Schizosaccharomyces pombe: one gene and its partner. The protein of the gene in region 2 interacts with the protein of the main gene of each other region in a pairwise test. Each region holds a gene or a part of one and is shown on either strand. Other genes may lie near its edges.

Region 1 (3,488 bases), 710 kb from region 2:
GAGAATCATCTTGTTCAGGAAAATCCGCAAAACTCGCTTTGGCAGCAGCTAAGGGATCTAGTGGGTTGGCATCAACATATGGATCTACGGATTTATATATAGCGGAAGGTAAGCTCTTTCTGTGGTTCTGAAATAGGGGAAAGGATCCATTAGAATGCTGAAAAAATGATCTGCTTATGCTTGGAGAAACTGCACGGCGGCTGAGGTTTCTTTCAGAATGCAGTAATGGATGTCTTTTACTATTTCGTAAAGATACGGGATGAATCGCGTCCATCGCAAGGCCTTCTTGTTCTACATCAGGGAATATAATAAATAATGAATGAAGGAGGCGAAATGCTGTCTAAATCGATAAGACCCTCACAGATTGTTCAAAAAAAAGAAAGAGGTTGTGTGTTATGAATTGTAGAAAGAAGGTTACAAAACGACTGCACTGATGGAAGTAGCATACATGTGATTTTTCCTTGCGGGTTACATACCAGATGACGCATTGCTAAATGACTCTGAGTACTGCGCTAAACAATTACCTTAAAACTTTTCACCAGTTTTGTCACTCTTCCTTGCTGCCCCGTATATTGCTTACGCAGTTTCAAAAACAATGTTACCTCTCTTTTAATAAGCTTACTGACTCTTAAAGTATCAATAATAAACTAAACAATAAACGAAATTTCACTTTGATCATTATCAAACATGATAAAACAAAATATTTCTTCAAAATTTTACTCTTCAAGGAATTTGAAAAGCAAATAATTATAAGGCTAGCATCTTTTTGCAATTAACTATTAGCTGTTGATGATACACAAACATTACAACAGAGACAATCAATATTGCAAGGGTGAGCCCGTTTTTTACACGGTTAGCTAATTGAAGCATTACCGTATTGAAAATAGTAACAGCTAGTTCGAATACTAAAAAAATTTTTAGACCAGCCTTACTATCTCGAGAATTGCTGATATATTGCAGCAAATGATCACAAAAGTAACATATAGCAAATAGAACATGGAAAGTACAGCGGATCGTCAGAACATTGAAGATAAACATTTCATTAATTCTTAAGAATTATTGATAGCGTTAGCAGTAATTGAAGATTTGGAAGTCCATGAATCGTAAAAAGTTTGAGAAAGCTTATGACAATGTTATATTTCGTTTCCATAACTAACGAAATAAATCGGTATCCACATGTTTTCGTATCCATGAGTTAACATACCATTCTGGAAAAATAAATAAAAAATAAATTCCGGCCGCCGATGAAGATTTTGAGATATTTTCGGAGACACTAACTAAGATTTTTTAGGACTTTGCGTAATTTTCTGATTTCAGTTGTTGCTTAATGACATTTAAAGTTTTGTAACAGCTTTATTGTCAAGTGGCATGCCGGTAGAGTCAACGTTGTTGTCACTCATGACTTTACGGATATAGATGAGTCTTGCCTGATCAAATGAGCACTGAAGCTGTTTCATCAATCCACGAATTTGTGAAGTAGCGGCTTCGTCCAGGCCGGCCCGAGTGTCCTGAGCTAGAATATTTTGGGCGATATCAAATGAACTGGAGTTAAGCCCATTGTTGAAATCTGCTTCAAAAGAATTTTCAACAGGTGAATATCTGATACTTCGATAGCGAGATATCCAAAATCTTCTAGCAGCAAATGTAATGGCGATAATTATAGCCAAAACAACAGTGACATAAGAAACGATTATATGAAAACTTGCCATATTCGGCTATAAAGACAAATATTTAGATAAGTAAAACACTTGAAAATAATAATGTTAACGTATTCCGTTTAGAAGGAGAAGTCCAAACAGTCTAATTTCAAGTCGACCTGACTCGTTAATATGGATTTTCTTGATAATAGCGAATTTGATATGATAGTAAAAAAGGAAATTATTGTATGGTTAAAACAACATGCAGAGTTTCGTCGGGTTAATGACCACAAGTAGTAAAACAAAAAAAAAAACTTAAGGCTAGGGGTATGCGCTCAAAATCAAATACTGACCATAAACGATTACGCAAGTACTTGATTTTGCAAAATATAATGAAATTAAAGAGATTGAAAACCAATTGAACGACTAGTTGTGCTAATTATGAAGATTCTTTAGGTAGGTAGATGATGAGATAGGTCAGTAAGTGAGGCTTACCAAATCACTTTATTCAGTGCGCAGCAAAGACACAAAGTCAATACTTCTCAGTTATTTAAATGATTTCTAACTTAATAATTGTAATTTCGTATATACAGTAATTAAATTGCTCGATCCGAGATGGTTAACATAGCAAGAACATTCCATTCAAGATACGAAGCAGATGTAAATTAATGAAGCAATAAACGATTAACTAACCATCAATTATAAGTAACGTAAATTTCTTGATATGTAAAAACTCGCGAAACACGAATTTGCCTGATGATTCGATAAATCCACTTTCCTTTTTAATTCATAGACAGTATAAAGCAAAAAAAGTATATTTGATATAACATACCACGCCGTCAATGCACATATGCGGTGTTAGAGTTAAGAATATCCCCTCATATGCTTTCCTGTAAACATTCTATGCTCGCCAGAGACAATCTGTAAGTGATAGTAGTAATATTTCTTGAATAATATCATTCTAGTATCACAAATTAACAAGTTCATCTACAAGTAAGCAATGGTTTTTCTATCTTTTTTACAGCAGTTAATCATCATTCAAGACGGAATGGCTTTAACATTTCTTCAAAGGATAAAATCCTTATATCAACTTTAAATATACACCATTTTAAGTAAGTTGTTTTGAGTGAGTATTTGTTGTCGCATTTCTCATAAACCCTAAACTTTTACTTCAAAAAAAATCTACTCTGCCAAAAAAATCAGATAAACAACTTGTGCTCTTTAAATAATTAGTTAGTGTATTCTTCTTGTGTATTTATAAAATTCTAAAAAAAAGGAAAGTTGTAACGGAATTTAGTTTACCATAACATGATTCCGCTAAGTTTGCTACCGTTCGGACAACTGTTTACACATTAAATTAATTAAATTCTTAGAACGAATATCTACGGCCATACCTAGGCGAAAACACCAGTTCCCGTTCGATCACTGCAGTTAAGCGTCTGAGGGCCTCGTTAGTACTATGGTTGGAGACAACATGGGAATCCGGGGTGCTGTAGGTTATTATTTTTGTAGATCTTTAATTATTAATTCTTTAAACATTCCACTGTTAAAGTCCGGAAAGAAATAATAAATTTACTTCATTTTCAATTTATGAGATTGTTTGAATGCTTGGTATGCAACTTTGATATCAATAATTTGTGTTAAGTTTTCAGAAACGTCTGTTAAGCCATAACATAAGCAACATATACTCCTTTATAAAAACAAGAGTACCATTGCTAAGGATAATTACACCAACAAAAATATCGCAAGCTTAAATACTTACTCAAATTGGTAATCAGCTTTATATGATCAGGCAACTTACACGGTATTCATTGTGAAGCTTTCATTGGAAGCAAGTCTAAAAGCAACTGA
Region 2 (6,099 bases):
TTGTTAAATTATTTTATTTTATTTTCCTCGACATTAAAATGCATCAACAATTGGTTAGTGTTAATTGATTCTCTTACTATCAATATTATCAGATTCAAAAAGCCCAACTTATCAAGAGTTAGTGAAGGAATCAGCAATGATCAGATAGAACAACAGAACAGTAAATACAATGCAAAACTTCGAAAACCGTGTATTAAAAGATTAAGACTTACAGATTTTCTACAAGCGTACTCCTTTTAAAAAGCCTCATTTTGTCCAAAGAATTGATAATGTGGGTATTTTTCGATGCGAAATCTACGAATACAAACAACTTCGCAAATTGGAGATTACTGCATACAAAATGAAAATGTATTTTCCTCGCAAGCTATTTATTTTGAAAAATTATAAATTACCTATTTTCTAATACAATCTCTCATTTTAAATATCACCGCAAATTATTTGGTCTCCGACAACTGTTTAGCGTGTCGGTTTGTACTTCACTATTTCGTTATCCCAACCTAAATCACTGGGAGAAACCTTCGGAAAACCACTTTTCGCGATCGATTTATATTCATCGGAATAGGAGATTTATATCTCTTCCTTGTTCAAAAAGAACTCAGATTCTTTTGAACATCTTGCTTTTGCCTTTTCAGACATCGTTTCCTTACTCTACCATAAGGCAAGAAATTATACCAAATCCATTCAACTTGTCGAAAAGAAGAGTACTTTATAGTTCATATGCTTGAAAATAACGGAAGTGTGATTTTAATGGAGCCGGATCATCTACGGACGGCAGTGAACCGCTCAATGACTTCTCGTGAAGGTCGAACGAAAAATCGATTCAATCCTATTACAGGAGCCAGACTTGCTGCGGGTGTTGTTGCTTTATCTGCAGACAAAAGGAAAGTCCTATTAGTTTCTTCTGCTAAAAAACATCCTTCTTGGGTAGTTCCTAAGGGTGGATGGGAGGCTGATGAATCTGTTCAGCAAGCTGCCCTTCGTGAAGGTTGGGAAGAAGGCGGACTAGTGGGTCATATCACTAGATCCCTTGGGTCTTTCAAGGATAAGCGTCCTACTGATACTATTGACAGAAGGAAAAAATATTTGAAGCAATTAATGTCAAAAAGTAGCGGAAATGACGTCTCAACCAATACCGAGTTAGGAGCCGAAGCAGAGAAATTATTACTTCCACCTAGAGCCGAATGTGAATTTTTTGAAGTTATTGTTGAAAGATTAGAAGACAATTACCCAGAGATGAGGAAGCGTCGCCGAAAATGGATGTCTTATCAAGAAGCAAAGGAAGCGTTGACAAGTCGTAAAGATATTTTGGCAGCTCTTGAGAAGAGCTCTATCATTAAAGAGGAAAACTGAAGTACAGATGCATAATGTTTACCATTTGCAACCTTTTATTCAAATATTTTAATTTACCATTTTTTTTGATTTCTTGCTTCAATATTTATCTTTTTCCATGGGATTACGAAATTGTTATATCTATTAGTTACCATGTCAAGTGTGTTAAAAAGGCTTGAAGTTTGCAAATCTTGATTCTTATTTTTTTTTTCAGCAAGCTGGGTCAAATTGAGTTTTCGACATAAAGCTCATTTCATGAAACATATATCCTTTAAAGGATTTCAGCGGTACAGCATATATTCCAGCAGTTCAACTGCTATTTTTTCTTTCCTTTTTTAAAAGTTTTTACTCTCTTTGTATATTTTCGATTAAGATCATTGTCTGCATAACATACTAATTCTATTTATAAATATATTTTCAATTGAATCGCATGATAATTCAAATTTTTTAAAACAAAGTTTCATTCCTTAAAAAATCATCTAATCCCACCTGTTTGATGCTAGGGTGCGAGTTAATCGTTATCGTTGTGTGCTATGCATAAAAAGCACATTAGTTGCTAGCATATTAATTGTTTGCAACCAATTTTGATTAGTGACGTTAATAAAAACAAAATTGTTCCATACGGTAAAACGTATTCGTTGTTAGATACTAATGAGCCCAAGAAGTTTCGTGTGTCAATTTGAATATGTCGTGTAATTTTATATTGGCTTTCAGCAATCATATAGCTATGAATTATAGTGAATCCATTGACGCTCATTACACTTACGTGCGATAATTTTAAAAAATACTTTTCAATTAGTAGTAAATAGATAGCGAAACGACGAACTATAGCAAACATCAATCCGTTAGTATAAATATTCGTACAAAATGCTTATATAAGAATTTGAGAATTACTTAATATATTTGATTGACGTTGTTCAACGTGAAAATGTACATAAAAGCAATTTATAACCACACCTAAAAATCCAAACAAACTGCAAAATTAAAAACGTAGGATTTAGCAGTTATGTTAGTAAAGCTTCAGCTATCAGAATAAAAAATTTTTAGAAAAAGAAACAAGAAGAAAATACATATATATATTTTTATTTTCAGAACTTTGACGGTCATAGCCAATTCTTTTAAAAATGAACTAAATAGCACTGTCTCACATTCTAACAATTGTCGTTAATCCTGTTAGATCCCAGCATAAGTTTCTGGATCTAATCTGAACGAGAATGTAACGTTTCACAGGTAAATAACTTTGAAGACATAGGGCATAATAGGATAAATAATTGATGAAACAAAACTTTTAATATGCGTTAGTTTAGCCAGGTCAAATTCAACAAATCACTAACAATCTGAATTACGGAAATATCTTTCACATAACTATAGATCCTTAATTTCAAGACAGTTACTGGGAGCAAGTCGTTGACCGTAATAAAGATAACCATAGTTTTCCAATTAAAAAAAGTGAAGTTTTGGAATCGAGCTGTTTTAGAATTCACCCATCTTAATCTTGATTTGAAAATGTCGATTTTTTTTTCTTTCAAAAAAAAAGCGTTGAAGCAAGAACAAAACTTTGTAAATTGAAGCCAAAAATAAACGCATATGCACAAAAAATTTAAATAGAAAAAGAAAAGAAAAAGAAAATTGAGCAAGAACTAATGTTCAAATTGCCTGGATGGCGATGTTTCCTTTGTATTGTTATGTTCAGAAATTACGATTTGTGGTCCAGCGGAATGATCGTTCAAAAGGGCATTACCTAATTCATCCAATTTAAGCTGAATATCATGAGCTAAATGTTGCGAATTGGGAGATTCTTCAACAATAGGTTCCCATCCTACAGGTGGAGATCCAGGAGGGCTAATAAGCCAATTCTTCTCAAACTTCGGAACCTGTAACGATTGGTCTACAGAAATTCCTTCAACATGATTAGGATCATCTAATACATATTGACAATGCACTTGTTGGCCGGAAGGTAGGGAACCAGTACTACTCTTCTTGAGGGTATCCTCTTCAACAGCTTTGTCATTGTAAGAAGCCAACACCTTCCCCAATCCTCGAAGCACTCGAGTAAAAGCAACCGGATTGAGTTGTTGAACAAATTCGTTCAGTTCGTCAACGTGATCGGGACTCGTAGTAAAGACTAACATGAAGAGCAAACAAATATTTCTATATGTACTGGGAAAAGAACATATATATAATGGAAAATGAAAGAAAAATAATTAGAAATAGTCCTTAATTAATCATATGTTGAAGCATGCAAATTAAGAATCAATCTTTTAAAATTTTATAGAATTGGTGGTCCAAATGATTTCCAAATCTAGGGATTTTTTTGTTTATTTTTTGTGTTTTAGATTGAAATCGGGTTTAGTAGGTAAAACAAAAACTTAGAGTATCTAACAGAATATCATTAAAAGAAACGATGAGATTTTTCAAATGTTGGCTTACGAATGAATTTGTCGACTACTTAAACGTCACATTGAAGTAGCGATTTGATGAGATTGGTAATAAGTATGAAGCTAGCCAAAGGAGTGATTGTTAAATAGATATGTAAATAAAGGATCTAATTTGTTTGTTTTAAGAATCGCCAAATTTAGTTTAAATAATTTGTTGACCTTGTACGAGTATTCACGTTGTATACTGAAAACACTTAGCAATTGCAAGACAAAACACAACAAAATAAGAAAACAAAAAGTAAAATGATGTTAAAAGTAAATCAGAAAATTTGAGAATATATTGCTTGCTTTTTTTTTTTAATTCTTTTTTCATTCACTAGATAACTGTAATTGTCAATGTGCCGCTTATTATCATTTTTCAGGGTCGCAAATTTGCAATGAGTCCAAAGCCATATAAATATTTCGGGCGGTAGTAATTTTACATTTATGAGTTCAGCACCTATCGAGCTTTCTACAGTTCATTTCATATAAAGCGAAAACTTGTTTTGCTGTCCACACCTCTTAGTCAAGTAATTGATGTATACATAAGAAACTGGAAATGGCGATTTAGCTAAAATTTTATTATGAGAAATTGTATTGATTTTGTTATTTAACCAAATTCATCGTTCCCTACTAAAGACAATACTTTTTCTTTAAACAAAAATTGATAATGGATTTTCTCTTCAGAAGGGGGTTTTCTGTTAGATTAAGAGCTAAAAAATTGCTGTGGATACCTCGCTTTTCGTTTCTCATGGTACACAGTTAAAGCGGTATATTCGATCTTTCTAATACAATTTCGAAGCGATTTTACGGTTGATACAGCAAGCTTGTTCACCATTGAACAAGATGATATCAAAATTCACCAATTGTTTACTGAAAAGTCATTCTTCATACAAATGTTCTTATCTTTTTGGCGGTGCGTCAAATACCCATGAAAAAGTATCTTAGTGTTTGACCTAGCTTATGTTCCATGATCTCGCATTTAGTGTTCGTTTAACATATGGGCGTAAAAAGCTTACCTCCGGTAAAGATAGGTAGACTCGGTCGCCATCGTTACAATACACTCTACTCGCTGAAGATGATGAATGATTCCGTTCATGATATATATATCGATAGCCTCTTCTTCCCTAACAACAACGCATCCTTTGTTCACAAGTTTTACAAAAGTATTGTAATTCTCTGCTCCAATTTTATAAGAGAAGTACCTATTCTAATAGTTTTTTCTGCTTGAAGGGAAATTCGCATTAACCCTGATCACGCTGGTATCGCATACTCACCAACGTCAAATTTGAATACTTAAGCACGATTTTTACGATTTTTTTTACATTTATTAGCGTCGATAAATCGTAAAATTTTGGAAGAAGGAATTCAAACGATCCAGTTTTCCCATATCTTTTCTGTTTATCAAGTGGTGATTGATTTGTTTGTTTACATCAATTGCCCTGTCCAAATCACACTTTTTACAATTCATACGTTTTTCTCGACTTTTTTAAAATTGTTACCGTTTTCTTCTCTTCTTTTTATTTTTGTACGTCTTTGAATACTAATTCACGATTCGTTATTTCCCGATCATACTAGTTTGTTTCGATCCATTAACCCGAGGTAAACATCTGTAATTATCTTATCAATCTTCGAATACCTCCTTTCTTTTTATCGTGATACTGGCTATTGATCGTTTATTCACAGGACATTAACCACAAATATCCGGGTTGAGTCGTTAATTGCTTTAAAAAGTCTCATTTCTTAAGTTTTTCAACTTAATTTTATTTTATTTTATTTTTTTGTTTTTAGGATTTTAATACTCCTTCTGCTATTTGTTTTTGTGTGCGTCCATTGATCGTTTGTTCTCCTACGCTATTAGATATACACCTCTCTTTGTTGACGTTTCTCTTTTTTTCTCTATTCAAATTTTTTACTCCATCTGACCGTTCTTTTTTTTAACAACCATTATGACTGTTGAGCAGAAGATTATTTTTTTCGATTTGGATAACTGTTTGTATCCTAAATCTTACAAAATCCATAACATGATGGCTGCTCGTATTACTGCATTTTTCTCTGATAAGCTTGGCATACCTACAGAGGAGGCAGAACGCCTTCGTGAAGTTTACTATCGGCATTACGGTATAGCAATTCGTGGTCTTGTTCTCCATCATGAAATTGATGCTGTGGATTATGATCAGCGTGTCGATCAGTCTCTTCCCTTAGAGAAGGTTATAAAGAAAGACGAAGTTTTGCGTGAGATGCTTTTAGAACTTCGTAAAAAGTACAAGTGCTGGATTTTTACGAATGCATATATCGTTCATGCTAATCGTGTCCTTAAATATCTTGGTATTGAGGATTGCTTTGACGGTAT

Evidence for each region. Proteins that work in one complex are often made in the same cells at the same time.
Region 1: the proteins of rcn1 (region 2) and SPOM_SPAC1687.07 interact in a two-hybrid assay, tested with the Schizosaccharomyces pombe proteins (one large-scale study listed by BioGRID).

Annotation. Positions count from the first base shown.
Region 1 is NC_003424.3:911,878-915,365, reverse strand, and holds SPOM_SPAC1687.07 (uncharacterized protein), read right to left. Parts: upstream 1,710-3,488; coding exon 1,335-1,709; downstream 1-1,334. Other genes in the region: irs4 (ENTH/VHS domain protein), read right to left, coding at 1-274; SPOM_SPAC1687.08 (uncharacterized protein), read right to left, coding at 748-1,038.
Region 2 is NC_003424.3:199,518-205,616, forward strand, and holds rcn1 (calcipressin), read right to left. Parts: upstream 3,764-6,099; 5' UTR 3,462-3,763; coding exon 2,970-3,461; 3' UTR 2,212-2,969; downstream 1-2,211. Other genes in the region: diadenosine 5',5'''-p1,p6-hexaphosphate hydrolase Aps1, read left to right, coding at 718-1,350; SPOM_SPAC24B11.05 (pyrimidine 5'-nucleotidase), read left to right, coding at 5,696-6,099. UniProt on the Schizosaccharomyces pombe protein: Inhibits calcineurin-dependent transcriptional responses by binding to the catalytic domain of calcineurin.